Canis lupus familiaris: one gene and its partners. The protein of the gene in region 2 interacts with the protein of the main gene of each other region in a biochemical or structural test. Links are inferred from orthologs where the notes say so. Each region holds a gene or a part of one and is shown on either strand. Other genes may lie near its edges.

Region 1 (6,153 bases), on a different chromosome or scaffold from region 2:
TGGAACAAATCCTGTGATGAGCTGAATCAGACACTGTGTGTCTCATGATTCCTCTTTCCTCAGGTCTTGCACCTGTATTTCTGAGGTCAGCATCACATCCAGAGTAAGTTTCCCTCCTTGTACTCTTGGGAGTTTTGCTCTGCTTACCCAGGAAAGCTGCAGCTCCTGCGATGCTATAGATCAGGGCTCAAAAAAGAGCTCCCTGAGAAACTCACTGATGCTTTCTCATTCACTGAAATTTCATTTCAGGAGAGCAAATTTCATTTTAATGACACTCATTGGGAATGCAAACTGATTTGCAAGGAATTCTCAAATTATCCTGTGGCTCAGCTTCTGCCAAAGGCATCCCCAACAGTACCACTAACACTATGGTTATTAAATAAAAAATGTTTGCTTTCTTTTTGTCCAAAAGGTAGTGATTCTCAAAATACGATCTGGGAATCCATGGGGGTTTCTGAGATCCTTTTGAGGAGTCTGTGAGGCTAAATTTATTTGCATAATAATCCTGAAACTTAAACTTAATTAGTTTTTCTACTGTTTTTCACTTGACAATTATATAGCAACAGATTGAATGCAGAAACAAATACTGTGCAAGAATCCAACTGTCTTCTATTAACCTGATATTAAAGATATTTACAAAATGTAAAACATTGCCCCTCTTCTATATTTTGTTATTTTAGGGGATCCCTGGATGGCTCAGCAGTTTGGCACCTGCGTTCCGCCCAGGGCCTGGTCCTGTAGTCCCAGGATCAGGTCCCATGTCAGGCTCCCTGCATGGAGCCTGCTTCTCCCTCTGCCTGTTTCTCTGCCTCTCTCTCTCTCTGTATGTCACTCATGAATAAATAAAAAAAAATCTTTTTTTTTAAATCTTTTAAAAAATAAATAAATTGTTATTTTGAAAAATATAGCTATTTTTCATAAAATGTATATTCTAACATAAAATGAGACTTAGCCATGTGAAAATCAGTGACCAGAAATAGAGGACTTGAAAATATGAGTGATGAATATGAAGCAAGATCATTTCCCATCTTTGTGGAACTTCACTTGAAAAGATGCAGAGGTGGAGGAGTGTGGAGGACCTTGTTTCCCCAGGACTCGTGTACAGAGTAAACCAGTAGAAAAATTCAACCACGGATGTACAGCCTGGATTAGCAATCTTCATCCTTAACTGATGAAAAGAGGTGATTAATTTTAGTTCTCATTTTCCTCTTTATCCATCTTTATCCCAACACCATTCAGGTTATTTTGTGCAAATGTAGTCCTAGAGTAAGGTAGCAAGTAGGTAACTAGCACTGATGTTACAAAACAAGTGAAAGGGAATGTGACTTGGTAAATTTCCTTTAAATCAATTTATGTGATTCATAGAGCATTCTACCCTAAAGGAAGTGGTGTTGGTGACTGGAAAATGGTGGTATAACCTAAAGGGAGAAAAACTGAAGCTCTGACAATAAGATTTTCACTGCAAGTTCAGGGTTATTTTTCATTTTCACCTTAAATTTGCAGTTTTCTCAGTAATTAACTCCATGGATGACTCTTAGAATTTGGATGTTAAATGAAATATGCACAATAAAATTAATTTGGAGTGCTTGATGTTTGTAACTTAAAAAAAAAAAAAAAAAAAAGGCTAGATCCTATTGAAAACATACAAGGCCAAAATGTAACTCTGTGCAAAATTAGAGTGTGTACAAAAGCCTTCAGATGAAAATGTGCTTTTGCCTAACTCTAAGTCAGGGTAAAGGCAGTATTAGTTTTCTTTGGAAAGTGTGGATGGCTCTTAAAAAAAAAAAAAAGCCTTTGGGTGTCTGACGAATACCTTTTCCGCTGGCGGGCTCACTTGGACCTGGTGTACTTCTTAAACTTGACTGCTTTGACATGGTGGAAAATAACTAACCCTCCCCTCCCCAACACCTCCACTCCCCTCCAACAAAAGCCAAAAGGGGAAAGAATAACAGTTACTACGTGCAGTCTTTACTCACAGCCTCACGCGAAGGAGATTAAACTCTAGTGATTTGTGGTAAATTCTGGATAGCATCCTGTAGCTATCCAATCAAAATAAGGGTATTTGAAAACCAGAATTGCATTGGTTCTAATGAAAGTCGAAGTTCAGCCAATAGGACAGCTTCATTTTGGCGCCCAGTAAGGACTATAATAAATACTGAAACTTGGTCTCCATCTGTTCCGATCCAAGTCACTGTTGTCTGTCATCATGTCAGGTCGCGGGAAGCAGGGCGGCAAGGCTCGCGCCAAGGCCAAGACGCGCTCGTCGCGCGCCGGGCTCCAGTTCCCGGTGGGCCGCGTCCACCGCCTGCTCCGCAAGGGCAACTACGCGGAGCGGGTCGGGGCGGGCGCGCCGGTGTACCTGGCGGCCGTGCTGGAGTACCTGACGGCCGAGATCCTGGAGCTGGCGGGCAACGCGGCCCGCGACAACAAGAAGACGCGCATCATCCCGCGCCACCTGCAGCTGGCCATCCGCAACGACGAGGAGCTCAACAAGCTGCTGGGCCGCGTGACCATCGCGCAGGGCGGCGTCCTGCCCAACATCCAGGCCGTGCTGCTGCCAAGGCTAGGAGGAAAAGAATTAGACTTCTATAGTAAAAAACTCCCAAACCAAAATATTCCCTGGGAAACGGTGGGACCACAGTTGTAGTACCGAACCGTAGCACCGAACCAATTGGTTCGACCGCACACAGCGCAGGGTTTTCCAAAATGCCTTATATTAAGCTACATAACCATTACCAAGATTTGTGTCTAAGTGTACAGCTGTTTTTAAAAAAACCTGGGTGGCTCTGAAAAGAGCCTTTGGGGCTTTGTCGGCTTTTTCAAGGGGCAAAAACTTCCTACTTCTTTTTCGGGGCCGCCTTCTTGGCCTTGGCAGGTTTGGGCTTCGCGGCCTTTGGCTTCGCAGCCTTTGGCTTGGCGGCCTTGGGCTTCACCGCCTTGGGCTTGGCAGGACTCTTGGCCGCCTTCTTAGGCTTGGCAGACGTTTTAACTTTCTTAGGGCTCTTTGCTACTTTTTTGACACCGGCGGCTGCAGGCTTCTTGGCCTTCTTGGGGGTCTTCTTCACGGCTTTCTTCGCCCCCGCCGCTTTCTTGGGTTTCTTAGGAGTGGCCCCGGAGGGCTTCTTGGCTCTGGCCGCGCCCGCCTTCTTGGCCTTGGGCTTGGCCTCCCCGGAGGCCGCCTTCTTGTTGAGCTTGAAGGAGCCCGAGGCGCCGGTGCCCTTGGTCTGCACCAGGGTCCCCTTGCTCACCAGGCTCTTGAGGCCCAGCTTGATGCGGCTGTTGTTCTTCTCCACGTCGTAGCCGGCGGCCGCCAGCGCCTTCTTGAGCGCGGCCAAGGAGAGACCGTTGCGCTCCTTGGACGCGGCCACCGCCTTGGTGATGAGCTCGGACACCGGGGGCCCGGACGCCTTGCGCTTCGCAGCGCCACTGCCCGCTGCCTTCTTGGTGGCCTTCTTTTTGGCAGGTGACTTCTCCACCGGCGCCGGGACAGCCGTCTCAGCGGGAGCAGTTTCCGACATGGCCGAGAGCAGAAGCCGCTGCAGGAAGAGAACCGGAAAAACGAAAGAGCAGGTCTTGCAATGCTGCCTGACTCCGGCCAGGGGCTTATATAAGCCGGTGCTGCTCTGTGATTGGTGGAGCGTCCAATCCACTGCCCTCAGGCAGCCGCCCTTCGCGGTTGGACTCCCAAATTGTGTTTGTTAGCTCCCAAAATCTGATTAAATACTGAAAATTATTATACAGAATTTGACGTGTTGAAGCTCTCAAGGAAGAAAACAGTCTCTAGGTTCACATGCGGATTCGTGTTTTCATGAATCATGTACAACAGATGAAAGATTTTTCTTTTTAAATCTTTTCAGTTTTTCATAGGAATCCACTGGGTTTAAGGCATTATGGTAGTTAGTTCAAAGTTGCAGTAAGTTCTACTAAGTATCAAGTGGACATGTTAAAAAATGTCCCTAGGTCTGCACTTTGATTTTTGTAAGAGGAAAGACACAGGTTCTCGGTTTGGGAATAAACTGTAGTTAGTAACACAGAGGGAGGGCAGCAGCTTGCCTGCAGCCCCAAATTAACCACATAGATCCTCCTTCAAAAGCCAGTTCTGCCTCCTGGGAGTTTTCACACGCCCGATGTCTTTAGAGAATGTCTTTGGCTGTTTGGGAAAGTTTAGTAGCCAGAATGATATCTACCTTGCAGCAGGAGGAGGAGGAGGAATAGCTTTGGCTTGAGGATCCAATGACCTGAATTTGAATTAAAACTTAAATTTGATATGTTTTTTATTGAGATGCTTTCTACCTTTAGTATTAGGCAAATCCATTATAATAAATGGGAAAGATGCTTAGCACAGATAAAGTGCTGGAGGAAAACCTCAAACCTGCTGGAAGTATTCAAGGGCTTCAGGAGTCCTCAAAAACACAGACTGTAGGTGACATGGGACTCTGTCAGACTTCCAAGGTACTCTTCCCAATACTTCCCAATTCAAAGTCCTTATCTCCATCAATATGTAATAAAGTGCGCTGTCAGAAACACCTTTCTGTAATGTGAGCATTATTGTGTTATGAGCTAGGAGAGACCTTATTTAAGAGAAATAGGTGGCTACGGACTATGAGAAGACTGGATTGGCAATTGAAGGAATACAAGTTATAGACACTCAGAAGTAGTCAAGAATACAACATCCGGGAAGCTGGGTGGCTCAGTGGTTGAGCATCTGCCTTTGGCTCATGACGTGATCCTGGGATTGAGTCCTACATCAGGCTCCCCAGAGGGAGCCTGCTTCTCCCTCTGCCTAATTTTGCCTCTCTCTAGGTGTCTCTCATGAATAAATAAAATCTTAAAAAAAAAAAAAAAAAAAGAATACAACACCCAAGATAACTGAAGAAATAACCATGAGGTTGGAATGGAGGGTGGGTAACTTTGCTACTTATTTGGGAAGAGGCTGGTGTAGGGAATGGACAGGATTTTCTGACTGGCTGATTAGGAAGGTCTAATGATGACTAAAATCTCTACTGCAGTCAACACTCACTTAGTTCTTCCCTGTGAAAAACTGTAAGGAAGTTTAAAGTCATCAACGTATTTCCCTCCAAGGAACTCCTGGAGTTGAAACTATAGTTAATGAAGGCCAAATCTGGACAGTGTCCTGTTTTGCATGGGCTTTCAAACTAAATGTGGTTTTTATATTTTTAAAATTGTGTTAGAAAAAAAAATGACAGACCATTTTTGGCCTGCAAAGCCCAAATATTTGCAATTTGGCCATTTTTCTATGTTTTTGACTTCTCTACATAGATTATGGCATATTGCTAACAAGCCTGCCTCTTTCAGAACAATGCAAACGAAGAATCAAAGAAAAGATCTTAACAAGACAAATGTTTTAACCAAGCATGTACCACTATTTCAACCACAAACCTTTCAGATCACAGTGGACATGGTGGTGGTGGGGACCTCCATGCTTAAGTGACTGGATAGAGGTGTAGTAAAGGCTAACACTCAGTGAGCATTCACTACATGCCAGAAACTAATCTAAGAATGCTCAACGGTTTTAATTCATTTGCCATATTTCACAGTGATACAAGCTGATACCCAGGGAAAGGATGAGTAACTAGCCAAAGGCTAGTAATTCCCAGCTCTGAGGTTTGAACCTAGAACACCTGCCTCAGCTCTATTATGATGGGAAAATCCTAAAAGGAATGGGGAGAAAACAATTTTTGAAGCTTTTAAGAGGCAGCATCAAATAGTCCCTACAACTAAAGAATCACTAACGGATCTGTAATATGGGGGATGCCTGGGTGGCTCGAGGGGTTGAGTACCTGCCTTCAGCCCAGGGCGTTGATTCTGGAATCCGGGGATCGATTTCACCTCAGGCTCCCTGCATGGAGCCTGCTCCTCTGCCTTCTCCGTGTCTCTCATGAAAGAATTAATAAAATCAAAAAAAAAAAAAAAAAAGAAAAGAAAAGAAAAGAAAGAAAAAGAAAACCCACCTTTTAAAAGGAGAGGTTCTGGCCCCTTGGGTCAGTTCCTCAATCCCCAGGCATTCCAAAACGCTTTAGGTGCCAGCAGATGAGATATGAACCTTTCTGAAAGGACAAACATGAATATAGGGGAAATTTAAGGCCCAGATGGCTGAACTGATCTGATTAAAAAAAAAAAAAAAAAAAAACC
Region 2 (6,176 bases):
CTGTTAAGAGTCCTGGGAGATGGTGGGACAAAACACACCCTGTGAAGCTGGGGGGCCAGACTCTAGGGAACCAGGCCTCCCCACACCCCTCTCGGGCCTACCCCCTTCACGGGGCCACCTCGCAGGCATTCCGTCCTGTCCCCAGAACACACCTGCTTTCTTTGTCATCCTCCAGGAGCTGCAGCTTGTAGTAGGAGTTGGTTCCCTTCACGATGTCTACCAGGCCTAGGGTGGCGCTGAACACTTTACCACCTTTCTCCAGAACATGTGCAGAGTGTTCCAGACCTGTGGAAGAGGCAGGGTGCCCTGTTTTAACTCCCATGAGGGGCCAATGCACTCTGGGAGAAGGAGGTCTGCAGGCGGTAAGGGGCGGGGGGCTTTCACACCCCCAGACACCATACTGCCAGTCAGATGACGCCCAAGAGGTAGGAGGGCACAGGTGCAGCCTGGGCACCCTAGTCTCTTGACCACCCATCCACTCCCGCTCCTGTGAGCTCACCTGAATCTGGATCAACAGCAGCACCACCTTTCAGAGTTAATTTCATTCTCTTCTCAGATTTGTTGACGCCTTGGAAGGGGACAAGAACTGTAACTGCTCAAGTAAAACAGAACTAGGAAATACGGGTGGGGTGGAAGGCAGGGCGAGGGAGCAGTCTGCCAGCATCCACAGACCATCTCAGGAGTTTGTGGGCCTCACCTTCCTCCTTGACCGGGCCCTTGCTCTTCTTGGAGAGCGCAGCTCCTGATTTGGCTTTAGGGGCTGCAGGCTCTGCTGGCTCTGCCTTCACCTCAGCCCCCCAGGGAGCCAGCACATGGGCGGAGAGCAAATCCTGAAGGCTCCTGGTGGAATCAGACACGTCCCGGAGAAAATCCTCAGATACCACTCGGATGCTGGCCTCTCTCACCTCCTCCATCTTCTTGTTCATCTTCTCCACCTCCTCTGTTCAAACCAGGGGAAGAACGGCCGAAGCATTAACTGTGAAGTAAAGCCAGAGCCCTGCTGACTGAGCCTGAGCCCCTCCTTGTCACCTAGTGCTGGGGGCCCATGTACAGTGCCGCCTCCTGCACACGGGTCTAGGCCTGTGGGCAGATGCACCCCAGAAGAGGAGCCACCTGCAGCCCAAACGGTAGGAAAGTGCTCGACCCTGCACCTCCCCAGGGCATCCCCAAGCACACAACAAGCAACTGGTTGCCCCTGCTCTGCAGGATGCCCCTTAATTCTATGGACAATTTCCCTTACATGTGGAAGCATTCTAGTTTGATGTGGTCCTGTTGGTCTGTTTTTTTTCTTGGGTGCCAGAGTCAAAAATCACCAAAACCAGGGTCAAGGAGCTCACCGTCTATTCTGTGCTCTCTTCTATGAATTTTGTAGTTGTGGGTCTCACATACAAGTCTACAATCCATTCTGAGTAAATTTTTGTGAGCAGTGTGAGGCAGGGATCTGGCTTTCTCCAGAGTGTATTCTTGGCTTTCTACCCTGTTCCGCTGACCTCTGGGTGTTCACACGTCAGCTCCACACTACTCTGATACTAGAGCTCATAATGTAGTTTGCAATCAAGGAGCATGATGCCTCCTGCTCTGTCTTTTCTCAAAACTGCTCTGGCTGTTTGGAGCATCTGTGGTTCCACATGCATCTCAGGATCGTCTGCTCCACTTCTGTGAGGAACCAGCACCAGCTTTTCACAGGTAATGCAGGAATCTGTCCTGCTTCCAGTGTGTGGAGTGCCTTTGACTAGGTAAGCTACTTATCTCCAATCCTTCAAGATTTTTTCCTCTGAGACTTTACTGTGTTCTTTTGTTTTGAATTCATCCCCATTTTTCTGTCTTGCCTCACTCTATGGGTAGGTGAGACAAGTACCTCTCCTGGTCCTGAAGGAGCCCTCGTATAGGAGGTGAGTGTTTGTCAGCCCCGCCCCGGCTCTGCTGTTCCTCAAACCCCCAAGCTTGTCCATGCAGCTGCTGTGCTTTTCAGAGCCCCCAGTGGTTGTGGTTGTGCCAAGACCATTCATGTCCCCAAAGTGAGGCGCTCTGGTCAGCTCGGGAGAGAAAGCATGTGAACACACAGGACAGAGTGGCTTCACAAAATACAGGCACTGGTATCCCTTCAGACCCAAACAATGCTGCTGACCAGACACCTACCTGGGAGTGCCCTGCGGATGCCACACCATACTCAGTGTCCCCTTACTCAAGCTCACCGCCATGGCAGGAAGCACACTGGGCACCTGTTCTACAACCAGGTTCAACTCACTTTTTTTTTTTTTTTAAAGATTTTTATTTATTCATGAGAGACACATAAAAAGAGAGACAGAGACACAGGCAGAAGGAGACACATGCAGGGAGCCTGACGTGGGACTCGATCCTGGGACTCCAGGATCATGCCCTGAGCCAAAGGCAGACGTGCTCAACCACTAAGCCACCCAGGTGTCCTGGTTCAACTCACTTTTGGTACTGATGCACAGGGAGGCCTTATTGGCTGTGCCTGTCAACTTTCCCCCGAGCTTCTCAATCATGGCCTTCACTTCATCCTTGTTCCGCGAGAGTTTCCCAAGAGTCAGGATCTTCATGTTGGACAATGGCTTACCTGGGAAAAGAGAACAGTGGTTAGGCAGCGAGGTCTCAGGGAGGCTGGGACAGGCTGCAGGGCCTGGACACCCTCAGCTCCCCTCTGGTGCCCGAGTGATAAGTATATGAAAATAGAGGCTGAGGGCTATTGGGAAAGCAGGATAGGACAGCAAGTGGAGAGCCTGTCTCGTCCCCTAACACACAAAGGACCAGGCTAGGGGAAAAGCCACATAACAACACTGTCCTGTGAATAGGCTGGCCTGGCCAGCAGGGTCTCCTGGCTCTGTCCCACAGGGAGACCCAGAAAGCTGCATGTGGGGACCACCAGGCTGGTAGTGGGATGGGAGGCAGAGAGCTGAGCTCCCATTACTTTTCTTTTCCCAACTCGCAATTTCTTATGTGATACTTATGAACCTCATCAAATAGATTAAGACTCATTAAGGGCAGTCACTCCACGCTGTGGTCAGCAGGATGCCAAGCTAGGTAACCGATTCCAAACACAAAGACCCTGGCACTTCCCTAGAACAGAGCCCAGATCAGAAAGCCCCATGACAGGGGCTGTGCCTAGGTGTGGTGAGGGTGGATCAGGGCTGGCTCCGCACTCCTAGAACAGGGAGGGAAACGTCCCTCAAGCCCTTCCTGTGAGGGCAAGTCAAGACTGACCCCACACCCCAAAAAATAGACTGACTCAGAATGACCATGCACACGTAGGCCTCCTTGGGAGGAAGGAGGAGGTCATTAACAGGCTCACATGCAGGGTCAGCCCCTTGTCTTCCACCCACCCACCTGTGGCTGTAGCCCTTAGGCTATACCATGTGTCTCTGAGTGAACAAAGGCAGCAAGTCTCTTCTCTGGATGGAAAACCACCAACTGATCTGTGTCTGTGGTGTGGAATATTTGTATTCATAGGAGTTGGAACCTGCTTTAGCGGCCAAGGTCTCTAGCAGGTCTCTGTGTGCAAAAGACCCAACCATCCCATCAGGCTCAGGATGACTGACGGACACAGGGCTGCCCAGAGGCACGAAAGCAGTCTGTCGTGTGGTTTGGACAACATTCTGAATGTCACTCTCGGTAAGGCTGCCCTAAGGATTGGCAAACAGAGAATCTGGAGAGACCCTCCTCCTGCTAAGATCATGGGCCCCCCCCCCCCTGCAGGCGGCCCTGGAGCCCTACCTGGCGGAGTTGAGCTGTTTACACTAGCAGGCGCCAAGGCAGTGGAGGGCGGAGGTGCCGCTGCCACTGGGGCACTGGTCTCAGGGGGAAATATCCGGTCCTGCTTTTTGATCTTCAATTTCTTGAGATAAGAGATTTCTCGGAATTCCTAAAGAATTAAAGTTTCAGTTAAGAAACCAGTTCTCCCTTAAAATTACCGTCTGCCACAGCAAAGGTTTGGTCCGTTCAAACTAAGGAATTTCATTTTACTTCTTGTGATAAGGAATGACAAGAAAACAAGACAATGGGGCACCTGGGGGGCTCAGTGGGTTATGTCTGACTCTTGGTTTCCATTCAGGTTGTGATCTCAGGGTCGTGGGATGGAGTCTGTTAGGCTCCATGCTCAGTGGAGGGGGAGGTCCTGCTTGAGATCGCCCCCCCCCACACCGCCCAAAGATATTCTTTCTCACCCTCTGCCCCTCCCCCTGCTTGCTCTAAAATAAATAAATCCTAAAAAAGATTCGAGATTTCCAGCACAAAATACACGATCACTGCAAACACAGTGCTTATTTCTAGTGCTTCCACGTTTAGGATAATGCTGGCATGGATGCTGTAAGCAAAGAGTTTTCCTTAAAGATCAACCAACCAATCATGAATCAGCTGCCACGGCCTGAAACCCCCAGGCCTGGCCCTCGAGAGGCCCCTCAGGGGTCACATGCCCACGTCCCGAGACTGCACTGACTGGGAGAGAGGTTACTTCCCGAGAGGAAACCAGAGAGCTCCCCTCCCTTCTGAGAAGGTAACGTGGCTGCTGAGAGCAACAAGTGTTCCATAAGGACTCCGCCGGAGTTCAGGAACAGCATGGTGCAGGCAAGGAAGAGCCCACTCCCGTGTACCTGTGCTCCATGAATGCCCCGGATCAAAGGAGCAACAGACCATCTCCAAGTCATGCTGAACACTTACTGTGCCATATTATCATGGTGAGGTTATGAAGAGTTTCTTCTTTCAAGAAAGCAGTTCAGTGCTGACTGGGTCAGACATCTGAAGGCTAATGTGACAACAGATGGGGAACTTTGGGGGGGCTCCCTGGAGGCAATGACCTGTTTAGGCAGCTAGGGGCCAAAAAAGCAGGGTCCAAGCAAAGACGTATGACTGACATACTGTGGGATGCAGGGAACACTGGGGGGGTCAGTGTTCTATTGCTGGGAATGTAACGAGCTAGAGAGACCGTGTGTGTGCATGTGCAGTGGCAGTGACAGTACCCAGGAAGACAAGGGCAGCACAGAGCCTGAGGAAGGCCCACAGAGAGCAGCAGGCTCGCATGGAGCTGGGAATCCGTGAATCTGCACAGGCAGCAAGCACTGTGGACCTGAAAATAGGTCCTACACACACAGGTACCTTCAAAAGTAAGCACAATGCTGTGCAACTGGCCTGTGAAATACAAAATGGGTCCCCACTCCTTATGATCTCATTTTCTCAGAGATAGTAAAAGGGGTACAGGTACCACATTCAGGTATGTGACATTTGCAAACTCAGAAAAACTGGGAGAATATTTCCACGTGACCCAAGCAATCACTGAGGTCTTAAGGACACAAGCAGTGATGAGGTCAGAGCTGTTTTTGAGTGATTGCTCAAGTACAAGTTTAGAGAAAACAGCGAGGTGGGGTACAATGATGGCAGCAAGCAGGGGAGGCAAGAGGGTGGCAGGAAAAGAGTTCGAGTGTAGGTGCTGTGCTGACGGAGCCAGGGGGACACCCGAGTGACATGCTAAGTCTCGTGCCACCGGCCCACAGGCTTGTTGGCCTCCTGCACAAGCACAAGAAGTGAGGCAGCCCTGCCCACATAGAGTCTGAGGGTGCAGACAGTCCCAACTGAGGATTTCCAAGTGAGTTTTTGGTATCCTGAGAATTCAACATGCATTCCCATTAAAAACAAAAAAACCCAAAAAAACCACTACAACAGGAGGAGATACTTGAACTCCGGACCCAACTCCCCTTAGAACTAAGGCAGGAAGTCTACGGCCATACCACCCTGAACGCGCCCGATCTCGTCTGATCTCGGAAGCTAAGCAGGGTCGGGCCTGGTTAGTACTTGGATGGGAGAACTAAGGCAGGAAAACATCCTTAGGAAATTGTCTCCTATCACCGAGGTGAGAATTATCATCATTCATTTGTTCACCAGCGGGTCTTTTGTGCCTAGAACAGTGCCTGGCACACAGGAAGCCCTCAATAAGCAAAGACAAAGGTAATTCAGTCTTGGCAAGCAAGAGGACAATGCCAATCATCAAAACCTTATGCCAATAGGACAAAACTTGTACTCCTGCTAGGACTGCTTGTGCTTCTATGTTTGTGGAGTTTGCAAACTTACAGACCAATAATACGGTTTTATATTCTGAGTGTAAGGATGGCCTTGTTGGAAAGACTAAGAACACAGCACTGCAGTCATGGAGACTTGGAGTGTGA
Region 3 (6,276 bases), on a different chromosome or scaffold from region 2:
CTAACAATGTGACCAACTTTTTAAAAAGGACAATCCTAAGCAAACAGCTCCTAAGAAAGCCAGATGTTTGTTCTGATGTTGCGGGGAATGCTGAGAAGAGTTTTGGCAACTCCCCTTCATTCACTCATTGAATATTTATTGGGGGGATAACACAGCAGGTTGTGTGCTAGGAGCAGAGGATGAAGCTGGGACCACATTGACCTGGTGCTGCCTTGACAGGGAGCAGGTTTTAATAAAAGGATGGCACAAATGTCGAGCTACCCTGTGGTGAGTGCCGCAGGGACCAACCATCCGAAGCCATACCAGGGGACCCTCCTGAGCCTCGGAGGAATTAAGGAGGGCTCTCAGGGAAGGAGATATTTGACCTGAGGTTTGAGAAGGGGAAGCAGAGAGGGCAGGGATGGGGTGCTGCAGGCAGAGGGGAACTGCACACACGCTCCATCAAAGCAGGGGTGCAGCTTAAAGTCCTTGTCCTTCCCAGCCACATGGAGGGGACTTTGGACTTGGCTACCAAGACATAAAATTCAGTCTCACTTCTATGGTTCAGTGTGGGAGGCTTTCCATGAGCTTTCCCCCCAAACACTAGGCAAGAAGGGTCTTCCGTCTGAAACCTACAGCTTCTTTCTGGATTGATGCTGAGCACTGTGTAGGGTGACAGCAAACATTCAGTGACTTTCTTACTCCCATGAGGCCAGGCTTGATTTCTGGGGAAAATCAAGTTCACCCAGAACAAGGGTGCTGACCCAGCAGGGTGCCTGATGTCGGCCACATCATTTCAGCCAAGCCAAGATGTGGTGTTGACCCTGTATTTCCACTCATACTCAGAGCCCACCAGGAAAATCTATCTATCTCAGCTCTGCTGTGCCTAGATGGGGCAGGCCTAGTGTTGTTTTCCAGTGTTCATCCTCTTTTAGGGTTCAGGCCATAAAGAACAGTCAGCACACAAGTGCTCCTGCTCATCCAACAGCGCATCTGTCTTCAATTACACGTGTCGATCTTCTCTCTAAATGAATCAGTACGTGATGCACATAAAGCACTAGCACTGCCAGGAGCTCCACGTAAGCACTCCCGGTTAGCTCTTGTCATCCTTATTGTCATTAGTATCCAGTAAGATTCGAACTCTTTGCGAACAGAGAGTGTATCTCAACTAGAGTGTATCTTAATTACCCTTTTTTGTTTCAGTTATAGAAAAGTTCTGGACAGAACATAGTGGACACTCAATAAATCTTTCTTTTGGGCAGCCCTGGTGGCTCAGCGGTTTAGCGCCGCCTGCAGCCCAGGGCATGATCCTGGAGACCCGGGATCGAGTTCCACGTCAGGGTCCCTGCATGGAGCCTGCTTCCCTCTCTGCCTCTCTCTCTCTCTCTCTGTCTCTCTCATGAATAAATAAATAAAATCTTAAAAAAATATAAATAAATCTTTCTTTTTTTTTCTTTTAAGAGAAGGATGGGGGGAATTGGCAAAGGGAGAGCAGAGAGACAGATCTTAAGCAGGCTCCATGCCCAGTGCCGTGCCTGATGCAGCGGCTGGATCCTGAGATCATGACCCGAGCTGAAATCAAGAGTTGAATGCTTAACTGACTGAGTCACCCAGCTGTCCCGATAAATATTTTTTTAATAAATGTTTTAATTAAAATATACTTAAAATGTTTAAATCATTCAGTGTCTGAATAAATTATTGACACAGGACAGAGAACACAACCAAGTTGAGAGCCCAGTCATGGGAAGAGCAGATCAGGGATTAAACTGGCTCCTCCATCTACTAGCCATGGGACCTTGAACAAAGGGGCTCAATTTCTTTGAGCCTCAGCTTCCTCATCTGTGAATTGGGAAGATAATGATGCCTAAGTCACAGGCTGTGAGATGAATGGAAAAACGCATGTAAAGTACTAAGTACAGTATAGCACATTCTAGATGTTCAATAAACATTCCTTATTATCGCCACTGTCAGCAGAACTCAAGACCAAGAACACATTCAACTGCCAACCTTCACGGATATTTTAAGCAGCTTTTACAGAGAATGAAAAAATATTTCTCTGGTGATTGTTCCTAAACATGTTTTAATAGGCGACTGGTACATATCTGGTAGGAAATCACTTCTGGCTATATCCTGAACTTTTTTTCCATGAGTGGGAGGACTCATTGCATCTACTTCCTCTGAAAAGTGGCATAACGCAACTTGCCCCCACTCTTGCCCCAGTGAAGACAATCTCCCTAAAAGGCTCAAAGAGAAGCAGCCCTGAGGACCTTTCACCTTTGGCACTTGGAGAAGGCGCCCCTGGTACTTGGGTACCCCTGTCACCAGAGGCTCGCAGCACTGCTAGGAGGCTGGAGCCCCTGCCCATTGCAGAAGAAACCTGGGTTTCTTCAGAGAGTTTAAGTAACCTGCCCAAGGCCACACAACTAACAGGAAGCAGAGGTGGATTATGAACCCAGGTGAGGGCTGTTCATAGGGGCTGAAGGTCAGCAGCCCCTGAAGGAGGAAATAGGCTGTAAGTAAATAAAGGACAGGGCCACACAGTCCACCAGAGCAAGAGTTCAAGGGAAGAGCCTGAGCATGGCCCACACAGAGTAACCCACAGGTAATTTTACTGCTCCGTTACGATAAACTTGAACACACGGTGAAAGGTTGCAAGGTCGACTGTGGTCCTGTTTTTTTCACCTCCTCAAGAGATCTTCAAGGGCCCTGCACCAGCGGCCCCAGGCAGGAGGTCAGCAGCTCCTGCACACTGAGCCCTGACCCAGGCCCTCCTGCTATATGCACCGGTGACCAACTTCCATCCTCCCGGCGCCCCCCAGGCCGCGATCAGCACCGTTCCCATTTGACAGACGGGCACAGCGAGGCCCGCGGCTGACTTAGAGCGGCGCGGGGACCAGCGCCCAGGGTGGTCCGACAGCGGGGCGCTCGCGGTCAGCCGGGCGAGACCGCCACCCCCTCCCTCCCGGCTCCCTCCACGCCCCCTTTCCCAAAAGCCGAGCTGCAGGGCTGTCCCGGCCCGCGGCCAGCAGGGAACCGAGGGCCGGCTGGGCTGGGCTGGGCTGGGCTGGGCTGGGCTGGGCTGGGCGGAGCGGAGCGAGCTGGGCCGGGCCCTCTCCCCGGACTCGGCGCGAGGGGGGCCGCGAGGTTACCGTGTCCGCAGCGGCGGGCGGCGGGCGGCGGGGCTGGCGTCCGTCTCGGTCCCTCCGCGGATAGGGTCTGGGGCCGCCCGCAAGAAAGCGAAAGTGAAAGCCCGGGCGGCCGAGGGCGGAGTCGCGCGGGCCAGTCCCCGGGGCGGGGCGGGGTCGGGGGCGGAGCCGGGGTCGGGGCGGGGCCTGGGAAGGGGCGGGGCTGGAGGCGGGGGCGGGGCTTGAGGCGGGGCCCGGGGGCGGGGCTGGGGGCGGGGCCGGGGCCCGGGAGCGGAGTCGTGCGGGCCAGTCCTCCGGGCGGGACGGAGCCGGGGCCGGGGGCGGGGCCGGGGGGCGGGGCCTGGGCCGGGGGCGGGGCCCGGGGGGCGGAGTCGCGCGGGCCAGTCCCCCGGGCGGGTCGGGGTCGGGGTCTGGGGCGGAGCCGGGGGCGGGGCCTGGGGGCGGGGCCGGGGCCTGGGGGCGGGGCCGGGGCCTGGGGGCGGGGCCGGGGCCCGGGGGCGGAGTCGCGCGGCCAGTCCTCCGGGCGGGACGGAGCCGGGGCCGGGGGCGTGGCCGGGGGCGTGGCCGGGGGCGGGGCCGGGGCACCTCCTCCCGCTCCCGCGGCCGCGCTCTCCCCGAGGTGTCTCGCGCGCCCCGAGGCCCGCCCCCACGCGCGCCCGCGCCCTGCAGAACGCGGCGGGCCGCGCGCGTGGCCGGGGACGTGGCAGGCGCCCGGGCGCAGTTGGCCGCGCCCCCGGACGGCGCCCTCGGAGAGTTGGGAGAGTTCTCCCGCAGCCCCGGGAGAGCACCTGCACCTGCTGAGCCCGCGGCGGCGCCCGCAGCGACCCGGGGGCGCGCTCTGCACACCGGCCGCGCGCCGAAGAGCGCGCCCCGCGGACTCGGCGGCGCTCGAGGACCGGGCGCCCGCCGGGCTCCCCGCCTCCTCCCCTCCCGCTGCGGCCCCCGTCCGCACCCCCACTCGGGCCTCCGCACCCGCCGCGGGGACCCCGTTCCCACAGCCAGACGGCGTTTCCCCCGCCGGGCCCCCGACCCTGGGAAGGGGGTGCTCGGCGCCCGCAGCACTGGAGTCCCCGTCTCCGGGGCCGGCCTGGAGCCGCCGGTGGGCGTGCGGTGTCCACTCGCGGGGGCGGCAGGACTCGAACTCCGCTCTCGGGTGGCGAGCTCCCGCCTCGCAGCGCGGCGAACTTGCCGGAGGTCCCTCCAGAGTAGTGAGCGCCCCCAAGTGCCGGCCACTGGGCATGGGGCCGTGACCCGGCCCACCGCGGGCGGGGCCTGCACGCCCCTGGTCCCGCCCCCCGCCCGGCTGCTGCTCCCACAGCCCCGCACTCTGCCTTTCTTCACCCTTGGGCCGAAGCCGGCGCCTGCAATGCCTTTCTCTCCAAGACGCCTCTGGGACAGCAACTAATTAACTAATGACGCGTTGAGGCTCTGAGAAGAAAGGACACTTTTTAAAAAAAAAAGATTTTGTTTATTTATTCATGATAGACATAGAGAGAGAGGCAGAGACACAGGCAGAGGGAGAAGCAGGCTCCATGCAGGGAGCCCGATGTGGGACTCGATCCCCGGCCTCCAGGATCACGCCCCGGGCCAAAGGCAGGTGCTGGACCACTGAGCCACCCAGGGATCCCCAAAATGACACTTTTATTTATACCAGAAATAATTGCGTTTAAAGAACTTCCTGGGCCTTGAATGAATGGAAACCTTCATGGCGTGAGATCGGGCAAGAACCACATCTTGTCTTTTTGTTTGCTTGCTTTATCCTGGGCCTCAGACTTCAGTATTGTCTCTAGGATCTCGCCCAGGTGAGGACACTTTCTTGACTTAAGAAAGACTGGCCCCAGGTAAGTGTCAGGGCGTAATTATAATTTATTAACTTCTGCAAAAATTTTAAGCAGTCTCGTTACTTTTCCACTGACTGTGGAATAGGCCGAAAGTTTGTGTGCCTCACTCCCATTCATGTGTTGAAACTTGATGCTCAACGTGATGGTATTAGGAGTTGGGGCTTTTGGGAAGTGCTTAAATCATGAGGATGGAGACCTGGTGAGTGGGATTAGTGCCCTTCTAAAAAGAGGCTGGACAGAGCTTTCTGGTTCTTTCTACCCTCTGAGGATGTAAGCAGAAGTTACTGTTTGCATCCCCAGGGAGGGCTCTTACCAGAAGCTTGTTATGCTGTCACCCTGATCTTGGACTTTCTAGCCTCCAGAATGGTGAGAAATCAATTTTTGGTGTTTATAAGCTACACGGTCTGTAGTATTTTGTTATAGCAGCCCAGACTGGCTAAGACAGGCTGCACTACTCTATCAATCATGTTTCTGAAATGTAAGTGGTAACTGAGTCCTGTAGACACTGAGATAATTTGCTTTTTGAAGGAATTTATTGTGAATCATTTAAGAAATGAAAACTCCCTATCAGTAAAGAAAATTAGTTACTGATCCATAAATTTAATTTAAATTAAATTTTTTGCAAGTTATTCATGAAAGAGAGTGAAACACAATGTTAGATTTTGGAAAGGGCTTTAGCAACAAATCCCTCTGCTCATTTTATAGGAAAAGAATCTGAGGCTCAGAGGAGTGGCCCCTATCCCAGACTTGGCTAGCGGCAGAGCCAGGACCAGGTTGCCTAAAAAATAATGAATTTTCCATTCACAAGAAGGCTCTAGCTACCATAGGTTATATAATGCAAACGTTAAAACGTACTGCACACAGGAATTCATTGCTGGCTCAGGAAAGATATGTTTTTTTTTTTTAAGAATTTATTTATTTATTCATGAGAGACAGAGAGAGAGACAGACACAGGCAGAGGGAGGAGCAGACTCCATGCAGGGAGCCCGATGTGGGACTCGATCCCAGGACTTCAGGATCATGCCCTGAGCCAAAGGCAGATGCTCAACCACTGAGCCACTCAGGTGTCCGTAGAAAGATGGTTTGAAGGAAAACTTTTTTTTTTTCTTTTTCAGTTCCTTAGTTCTTTCTTTTTGCACTTTCTTTCTGGTCTGGGGAACTGCAAAGTTATTGTTCACAGTATTAACAAATAAAATCGTGGGGCAATGGAAGGGAAGAAATAATTTTGAATTTTTCCCTTATAGTAATTATACTTTGGATCTAAAAGACAATTCTAACTATTTCATGTATCTCTCCAATCTTGGCCCATG

The links.
Region 1: of the proteins of PARP1 (region 2) and H1-5, one has a biochemical effect on the other in vitro, tested with the Homo sapiens proteins (2 studies listed by BioGRID). The link is inferred for Canis lupus familiaris from reciprocal best matches to the Homo sapiens genes PARP1 and H1-5.
Region 3: of the proteins of PARP1 (region 2) and CASP7, one has a biochemical effect on the other in vitro, tested with the Homo sapiens proteins (3 studies listed by BioGRID). The link is inferred for Canis lupus familiaris from reciprocal best matches to the Homo sapiens genes PARP1 and CASP7.

What each region holds. Positions count from the first base shown.
Region 1 is NC_049256.1:26,524,489-26,530,641, forward strand, and holds H1-5 (histone H1.5), read right to left. Parts: upstream 3,565-6,153; 5' UTR 3,519-3,564; coding exon 2,838-3,518; 3' UTR 2,648-2,837; coding exon of another isoform or gene 2,207-2,647; 3' UTR 1,936-2,206; downstream 1-1,935. Other genes in the region: H2AC16 (histone H2A type 1-H-like), read left to right, coding at 2,207-2,647. UniProt on the Homo sapiens protein: Histone H1 protein binds to linker DNA between nucleosomes forming the macromolecular structure known as the chromatin fiber. Histones H1 are necessary for the condensation of nucleosome chains into higher-order structured fibers.
Region 2 is NC_049228.1:38,472,480-38,478,655, reverse strand, and holds part of PARP1 (poly [ADP-ribose] polymerase 1), read right to left. Parts: intron 3,884-6,176; coding exon 3,736-3,883; intron 2,582-3,735; coding exon 2,441-2,581; intron 941-2,440; coding exon 698-940; intron 569-697; coding exon 500-568; intron 286-499; coding exon 153-285; intron 1-152. UniProt on the Homo sapiens protein: Poly-ADP-ribosyltransferase that mediates poly-ADP-ribosylation of proteins and plays a key role in DNA repair.
Region 3 is NC_049249.1:24,893,248-24,899,523, reverse strand, and holds the start of CASP7 (caspase-7), read right to left. Parts: upstream 3,273-6,276; 5' UTR 3,129-3,272; intron 1-3,128. UniProt on the Homo sapiens protein: Thiol protease involved in different programmed cell death processes, such as apoptosis, pyroptosis or granzyme-mediated programmed cell death, by proteolytically cleaving target proteins.